Linked DNA regions of Kluyveromyces lactis. The protein of the gene in region 2 interacts with the protein of the main gene of each other region in a biochemical or structural test. Links are inferred from orthologs where the notes say so. Each region holds a gene or a part of one and is shown on either strand. Other genes may lie near its edges. The genes, in order: SEC17 and SEC18.

The links.
Region 1: the proteins of SEC18 (region 2) and SEC17 form a complex in vitro, tested with the Saccharomyces cerevisiae proteins (2 studies listed by BioGRID). The link is inferred for Kluyveromyces lactis from reciprocal best matches to the Saccharomyces cerevisiae genes SEC18 and SEC17.

The regions. Positions count from the first base shown.
Region 1 is NC_006041.1:529,451-532,553, forward strand, and holds SEC17 (alpha-soluble NSF attachment protein SEC17), read right to left. Parts: upstream 1,845-3,103; coding exon 1,815-1,844; intron 1,593-1,814; coding exon 744-1,592; downstream 1-743. Other genes in the region: RPL43B (60S ribosomal protein eL43), read right to left, coding at 2,226-2,502, 2,997-2,998. UniProt on the Saccharomyces cerevisiae protein: SNARE complex protein that binds to cis-SNARE complexes on membranes and is required for vesicular transport between the endoplasmic reticulum and the Golgi apparatus and for homotypic vacuole fusion.
Region 2 is NC_006039.1:1,269,005-1,273,341, forward strand, and holds SEC18 (AAA family ATPase SEC18), read right to left. Parts: upstream 2,796-4,337; coding exon 501-2,795; downstream 1-500. Other genes in the region: RPG1 (translation initiation factor eIF3 core subunit a), read right to left, coding at 1-183; PIB1 (phosphatidylinositol-3-phosphate-binding ubiquitin-protein ligase), read left to right, coding at 3,211-4,191. UniProt on the Saccharomyces cerevisiae protein: Required for vesicle-mediated transport. Catalyzes the fusion of transport vesicles within the Golgi cisternae. Is also required for transport from the endoplasmic reticulum to the Golgi stack.

The DNA.
Region 1 (3,103 bases), on a different chromosome or scaffold from region 2:
AATGGTTATTATTCCGGAATACCGTTATGAATATTAAACCATGTAGTTTACAAAATTAATCCGGTTGTATGAAAGATGTCCTTATTGAATTTCGTCGAATGCTCAGGATAATCAGTAATAGTCCGCAATCTCCAGGATCCAGTAAGAACGGAAACGCATCTGTTGAGGTTTTCATTCTTTTGATTTCTTTTCTTACACTTGCATACTTTTTTTACGGAAAGATGCGAAAGGGTCCTCTTATCTGAACGTTTTAGAGATCATGTTACCCCTCAGTTGATGTGTTTTCATTCATCTAGTGATATTATCAATCAACTGCCTTTTGCGTAGGCTCATCTAGTAGATTTGCTGAGGAAGTATCATCATATTCATTAAAAATTGTACCAGCATTCTGAAATATTAGGTTTGTTTCTTACCGTAAGAAGATGTAAAAAATTGTGATACATTTCTTACTTAATTGTATATTTATTCAAAACGGTAAGGGAGCCGTTCGTCAGAAGCTTAAAAAACATTTTCGTTACCATTAACATCTTCAAAATTTCCAAACGTCCAAGCCAGATGGCAAGCTTATTTGCATCGATATAGTTGATAATGGGAAATGAAAGACGTTAACGTGAAACAAACCACTCGATGTGGTTGTACAAATGGGTATACACCATTTATAAAATAATTATTCCACCAAAAAAGTGACAGTTGTGTTAGAGAAAAGAATACAATTACAAGAGAATGAGTTGAATATTACCATTTTATAGTAGATCGTCATCCGCCTCGACGATTGTATTTTTCACCTTCAAGAGTATAGTTGTTTTCCAATGGTCTAACTTATTGAACCTATCATATTCGTAGATCTTTTGCGATAATTTTTCAGTATCACCTTCCCTTACAGCTTCAATTACGTTTGATAGTAACTCAAACTCCCTTGATTGAGAGAATGATGGATCCAACGATTGTGATTCGTTCAAACTTTTATCTGCAGCTACAACATCACCAGCAGCAAGGTAACATAGGCCAATCTTCAATAAGTACTCTTTGAGCGACCACTGGCTTAATTTATTCCCCAATGAATTTTCAACGACTTTCTTTAAGATCTCGGTAGCTTCCAAATAATCACCGTTCAAAGCTTTCAAATCGGCGCATTTAATGTAGGATTTATTCGAGAGAGCAATAGCTTGGTCTTGCAAATACCAATCACCAGCTGTTTCATAATTGGCAATGGCACTTGGGTAATCCTGTAATTGCTGTTCTTGTAATTCAGCCAATTCGAATTTGAAGTTGGCACCTCTTCTAAACTGACCTCTTCTTGTGAAAATATCTATCGACTTGGCTAAGGACTCAGCAGCTTGTGCTGGAGAAGATCCTGTCTTGAAACACTTGTAGGCTTCGATATACGTATTTCCTGCTTCATCTTCATTAGAAGCCTGTATTTGACACTCTGCTGCCCTCAAGAAAGTATCACCCGCTTGATCCAACTCCTTTCTTAGCCTATAGAGGTTTGCAGCCTCGATATAAAGATCTGCTGCTTCTTCGTAACGGTAAGAGTCTGAACCGCTAAGGAAACTGAAAAATCCTGATGATGGTTTAGCCTTCTTTTCGGCCTATTACAAAAATGACATGAGATATGTTTCCATACCATTAAGTGAAAAAGAGAGAATACGAATGATAAATCACTTCCTCTTTCATCACATTATGGCTAGGGTTTGCATATGTTTATTGTTAGTATTAGGGGTTCAGGCGAGAATAAGGTCAACCATTGTCATCATACTTTCCTAGACTTATTGATTTGACCTTTCAACATAAATGATGGAGAAAAAACGTACCTTAGCTATAATTTCTTTAACATCCGACATATTCAAAGAAAACCTGAGTGGGATATGGCTGAATGCTGTTAACTTTTGTCAACCAAGAGCTTGCTTACAACTTTTACTATCAAACTATCAACATTGTATCATCATTACATGTTACATATTCTAATTACCATCAGAAAGTAAAGAAATTCCTTAAGGGGAGAAACAACGGAAGGCTATCAGCAGCCGGGTAATTAATTCACGTGACTTTCAAATAGGCTGGCCTGGGAGCCGGTCCAAGGTATTTGGCTGGACGCGAGGATGAACACTCGACCATCACGCCTAAATCAGTTATATAGGGTAGATGGAATATAAAATAACACAAAGTGGAAAGATACGTTTTATTGAAGGATACTTATAACATGATTATACGATGCAACAAGCTTAAGCTTCAGCCATGTCTCTCAATCTTCTGATGGTAGATCTGACGGTAGCGGCAGCGGCGGTAGACAAAGTGTAAGCACCACCAGCGATGGTTCTGTTACAAGAAGAACAAGACCAGACACCAGCAGCACCTCTCTTAACACAAGTCTTACCACAGAAAGAACAGTTATAAGTGGCGTGTTGTTGAACTTCCAACTTCTTAACTTGTCTTCTCAAAGAGGAACCGTAACGGACACCGTACTTACCAGTGATACCAACCTTCTTAGTTCTTTTAGCCCTGAATATAAAATGAATTGTGTATTCATTACGTCCGATTCCAATAGTTCGATTCAATTTGTTCACATAATGGGTGGTAATGAATCGATACCACAGGTAGAATGGGTAATAACACAGATATAAAAGTTAGTAAAATTGTTGCAATTAAAGGAACAACAGTTTTTTTGGGGGAGGAGGTCTAATAGATCGTCATTTATTCTGCTGTCGTGCGTGTGGAGCTGACACTATAAATCATCACACTGGAATTTTGCATCTAGCTGTAGTTTCTTGTGCTTATGGTATAATTCCAGTTACCCATTTGTCACTACACTTCTTCTATGTTGATTCCATCTCCTAGTGAACAGGTCAGTCTGCCTGTATCGTATCAGTCTGCTTCTTCTTCGTCTTCTTCAATCCTCATCGTCTAGTCTATCATAGTTCATAGTTCAACTTGTTATATCGATCACTGAGTTCTTCGGCCCCATAACTGTGCGCGGTGTGCATTAGGTATCATACATTTTGGTTTCTTTGTGTTTGCTTGGTTTCTGGAGGGTATATAAGAGTGAATATGAACAACTATAAAACGTAGTTAACAACCTATACAATCTTTAAATTCTAATCAC
Region 2 (4,337 bases):
TTCAACACCAAGTTCCAAGAACTTGAAGATTATAGGTTCCAAAGTGGCAGCATCAGCAAAACGAGACCTTCTTGAAGATAATAAATCAAATAGAGATTGCAACGCAGCCATTGGCTCGCCAACAGAGACTAATTCGTCAGCTCTTCTAATGGCATTCTCAGGACGTAAAGCCGGTGGAGCCATGATGAAATGCTAGTATAATCGATGGGTCGAGAACGGTTGTTATCTACCCTTTCTAAATCAGAGACTAGATCCAAGTATATATCTTTATTTTGCAAGGTGCAATAGGAAGAAGTTTCACATAAATAGACTGAAAAGTTTTTTTTCACTTATTCTCTTTGATCTTCAACGGAAGCATGCTGAAAAATTTCAACCTTCATCAAAAGTTGATATCATTGAGAACGAAGTTGAAGTTTATGTGCTATGTCGCGAGTACATATCACATATGTATAATATATATATATATATAAATGTATCATATTAGAAATGAATAGTATAATTCAAGATGATTGCACCATTAGATCAACAAGTTCATTGACGGGATCCTCATCGTGTCTTGCTGTTTCAATGTTTGTGAGTACTTTTTTCACGCCGACGTTGAGAGTAGATGTAACTTGGGATAATTTGCGGATAACTTCGACTCTACCAGCATCGTCAAGAAATCCGGAATCTGTCATAATGTTATTCAGTTCATCTAGGTTTGATACGTTTGGGACAGCAATTTCGTTGTCGAAACAACTTAGTATATCCATTTGCTTAAGCACCGTGTAAGCGGACGTAGTAGAGATGATAAGCAAACGACGATTATTTGGAGGTTTTCTTTTCAAATAGACCTTGAGTACTTGTAGGATATTATTAGAGAACCTTGGACCAATTGGAACCCAGTCAACTAGAGTCTCTATCGAATCGATAACTAGAATGTTAAGTGGCGATTTGTAAGCATCTCTGAAGGTATTGTCGATGTATGCGATCTTGGCCGTTTCCGACATACCTGCTATTTCTTCAGGGGAAATTAATCTAACAAATGGGAACTCAGACTTCAATGCAATGGCGGCAGCTAAGGCAGTTTTTCCTGAACCTGGAGGACCATGCACTAGTAAGGATACTAGTCTTGATTTGTCTGACTCTCTCACTTGACGGACGTATCTAGCACCGTTTTTCAAAATGTCGTCTACGGAGTTGGAGAACCTAAAGACTCCACCTTCTACGCAAGTCTTCAAATCTTCTTCACTAACACCAAACGCAGGAGTCACTTCATCTAACGCATTCAAGAAATCTTGTCTAGTCACCTTCATGTTTGCAATGTCTTTGGTTTTTAGTTTGGTTGCCCCTTTTCCGATATTTACAGTCTTGTTGATTGCAAAAGAACTAGCACTCTTCACCAAACCCTCAATTTCAGCACCGGAGAAATTCTTCGTGAGTGATGCAAGTTCTTTCAAGCTAACATCATGTGCGAGCATGTTGTTTTCTCTCATTTTCTTGGTTTGGATTTCGAAGATTTGTTCTCTACCTTCTTCGTCCGGTAATTGAATTTCAACTTGTACTTCGAATCTACCAGGACGTAGTAAAGCGTTATCAATCAAATCTTTACGATTGGTCATACCAATAACTAAGATATTGTTCAATTGATCGACACCATCCATCTTGGCAAGTAATTGGTTGACAACATTATCACCGACGCCAGTTCCATCACCTCTTGAGCCTCTTTGTTTGAAAACAGAATCCAACTCATCGAAAATGATTATATGTAACGAGGACTCTTCTCCCTTTGCCTTGTATTCAGCTTCCGCGTCTTTGAATAGGTTCCGGATGTTCTCCTCTGAAGATCCAACGTACTTACTCAAGATTTCAGGACCGTTCACGATCTTGGGTTCCTTTGCGTTTAACATAGTACCAATTTTACGGGCAATCAACGTTTTACCTGTACCTGGGGGTCCAAACAATAGAAGACCCTTGACATGGGAGATGCCTAACTTTTCAATAACAGCTGGAGGGAAAATTCTGCTAGCGAATGCCCTTCTAAAAATCTTGGTAAATTCGCGGTCTAAACCACCAACGCCTAAGTCTTCAAATTTGAAATCAGGTCTAATAACGGCATCCGATCTTGGTCTCAGCGAGTTGGACGATTTCAAATTAACCAATCCATCTCTTCCTTTGAAAAAGTTTATCTGAGTTTGTTTGATTAAGATTGCCTTAGCTTCAATTGAGGTAGAAACCGGAGCTACAATTTCTACATCTCCCAAATCAATAGTTTGCGTTGATCTTACTCTTAGATCGAAGATATGTCCCTTAAACTCGAATATCAAGTACTGCGTTGGTGAGAATATTTGGGATTCAAAACTCTTTAAAAATTGCTTAGCAAGTTCATCTTGATCAAAAGGAGTCTCCACGGCTTTTCCTCTAGACCTGAAACTGATTTCCAGATCCACAGATCCTAGATACGCATGCTTGCCCGAATGTTGGAATAAATCGTACGGTTTCACCTGTACATCTTGATTCAATGACCAACCTCCCCAAGTACGTTGGTTACCATTAAATCCAATGGTACCAGGTTGAGTTTCGTTAGAGTGTCTTGTGGTAAACACGAATAAGTTGTCTATAATAACGTAAATATTCTCTGGTAAATCGCTTGGTGAGACAGCTGCCACATTAGCCAATGCATAACTGTTGTTTGGACAGTTAGCGACACGCAATTGTCTAGTACTCATATTAACATTAGACATATCAGGTACCCCTGTAGAATGCGTGGCCTTTCCAAAAGATGGCAACTTGCCACTCAACCCGAATTTCTCCATATTTCAAAAGGGGCGCAATGACACTTATAGCTTTCTGTGAACTCTTGGATTGTCAATTGAAGAAAAAGAATATAATATTCACTCAACTGTATAGTTAGCTTTTAAAGATCTGATAACGATACCTTATATTACTTAGTCTTCTCGTACTGTTTTCAGGCAATTGTCTGTCTAATTGTAGGTAAAGTATTGTTTCTCACCTATTGTTTCCTCGATTTCATGGTTTTTTTTCAGAATGTATGCTGCTAACATTAGGAATTTGTCAACAGAATCAGTTTTATAACAGAAAGCACATCATTTTAAGGATGAGATCATGAAAGCACAATAGTGGCTGTAATCAATTGTCCAAGACAGTAGAGCACTCTGTGAACACAGCAGGTTATTGGCTGCTACATAGAAAATCAGCTGAATTTTTGACATGACTACTGGTGCTCTGGTGGCAGGGCACGTCGATGGTGAAACGATGACTGTCACTGGTTCTTCGGATAATGCAAGGAGAGACAGAGACAGATGGCGGAATGGTAATATTTCCAGTCAGTTTGTGAACGAGTTTGGCGAGTGGGAAAAGGATGAGAATGTGACGCAGTGTCTAAGTTGTGGGATCAAGTTTAGTTTTCTAGTGAGGCGTCATCACTGTAGATGTTGTGGCAGAATTTATTGTGCTACTTGTTGTTCAAAATTCGCATGGTATGATAAAAACCGGGTTAAAGTGGTTTTGAAAAGTCCAGCAGAGTATGAAATGGAACCGTACAGGACTTGTGATTCCTGCTATGAAAATCTATTACAAATGAAGCTACTGAGAACTGCGTGGGGTGAAATACAGTTACCGAAACCACCAAGACGAATCGGAAATTCTATGGGATCTACTTCCGAAATCAACTCCATCCGATCATCGTCCATAAGGCCTTTTGAATTTATGAAGAACCAAAACGTTGTGGAAAATGTACGAGAAACTGAAAGCGAGAGAAATAGTCCCAGGAATATACATGCTGCTGATGAAGATTACGATCGATGTCCAATTTGTAATTTTGACTTACAAGTTTTCGGATCAGAAGAAGCAGCCCAACAAGAACATGTAAGCGAATGCATACGGCAAGCAGAACTTGCTCAACAGCAGCATAGTCTTATCGGAAGTCCAACTTACCAGAACAGAATGCTCGTATACCAAATACCTAAAAACGCTACGAATATTCAAGAGTGTCCAATATGTTTCGAAGAAATGGCTCCAGGACAAAAAGTCGGTAGGCTAGAGTGCCTATGTGTGTTTCATTATCACTGTATAAAGAGTTGGTTTAAGAAGAAGGTACAAAAATTAGCTACGGTGAATTCCGCAACTCAGGACTCTGTCTCCATGCTTGGTAAAAACTACTGTCCATTTCATGACGCAGTATACTACTAATGTGCTTTTTAAGCCGTTTAATATCCAATACTAATAACTACCTAATACATAATTTGCATACAGCACAAACTTGCATACAATATCACATATATATATACCTTCGCTTACTATAAAAGCCACTTGCAGTTACTTGTCCGTCATTATCT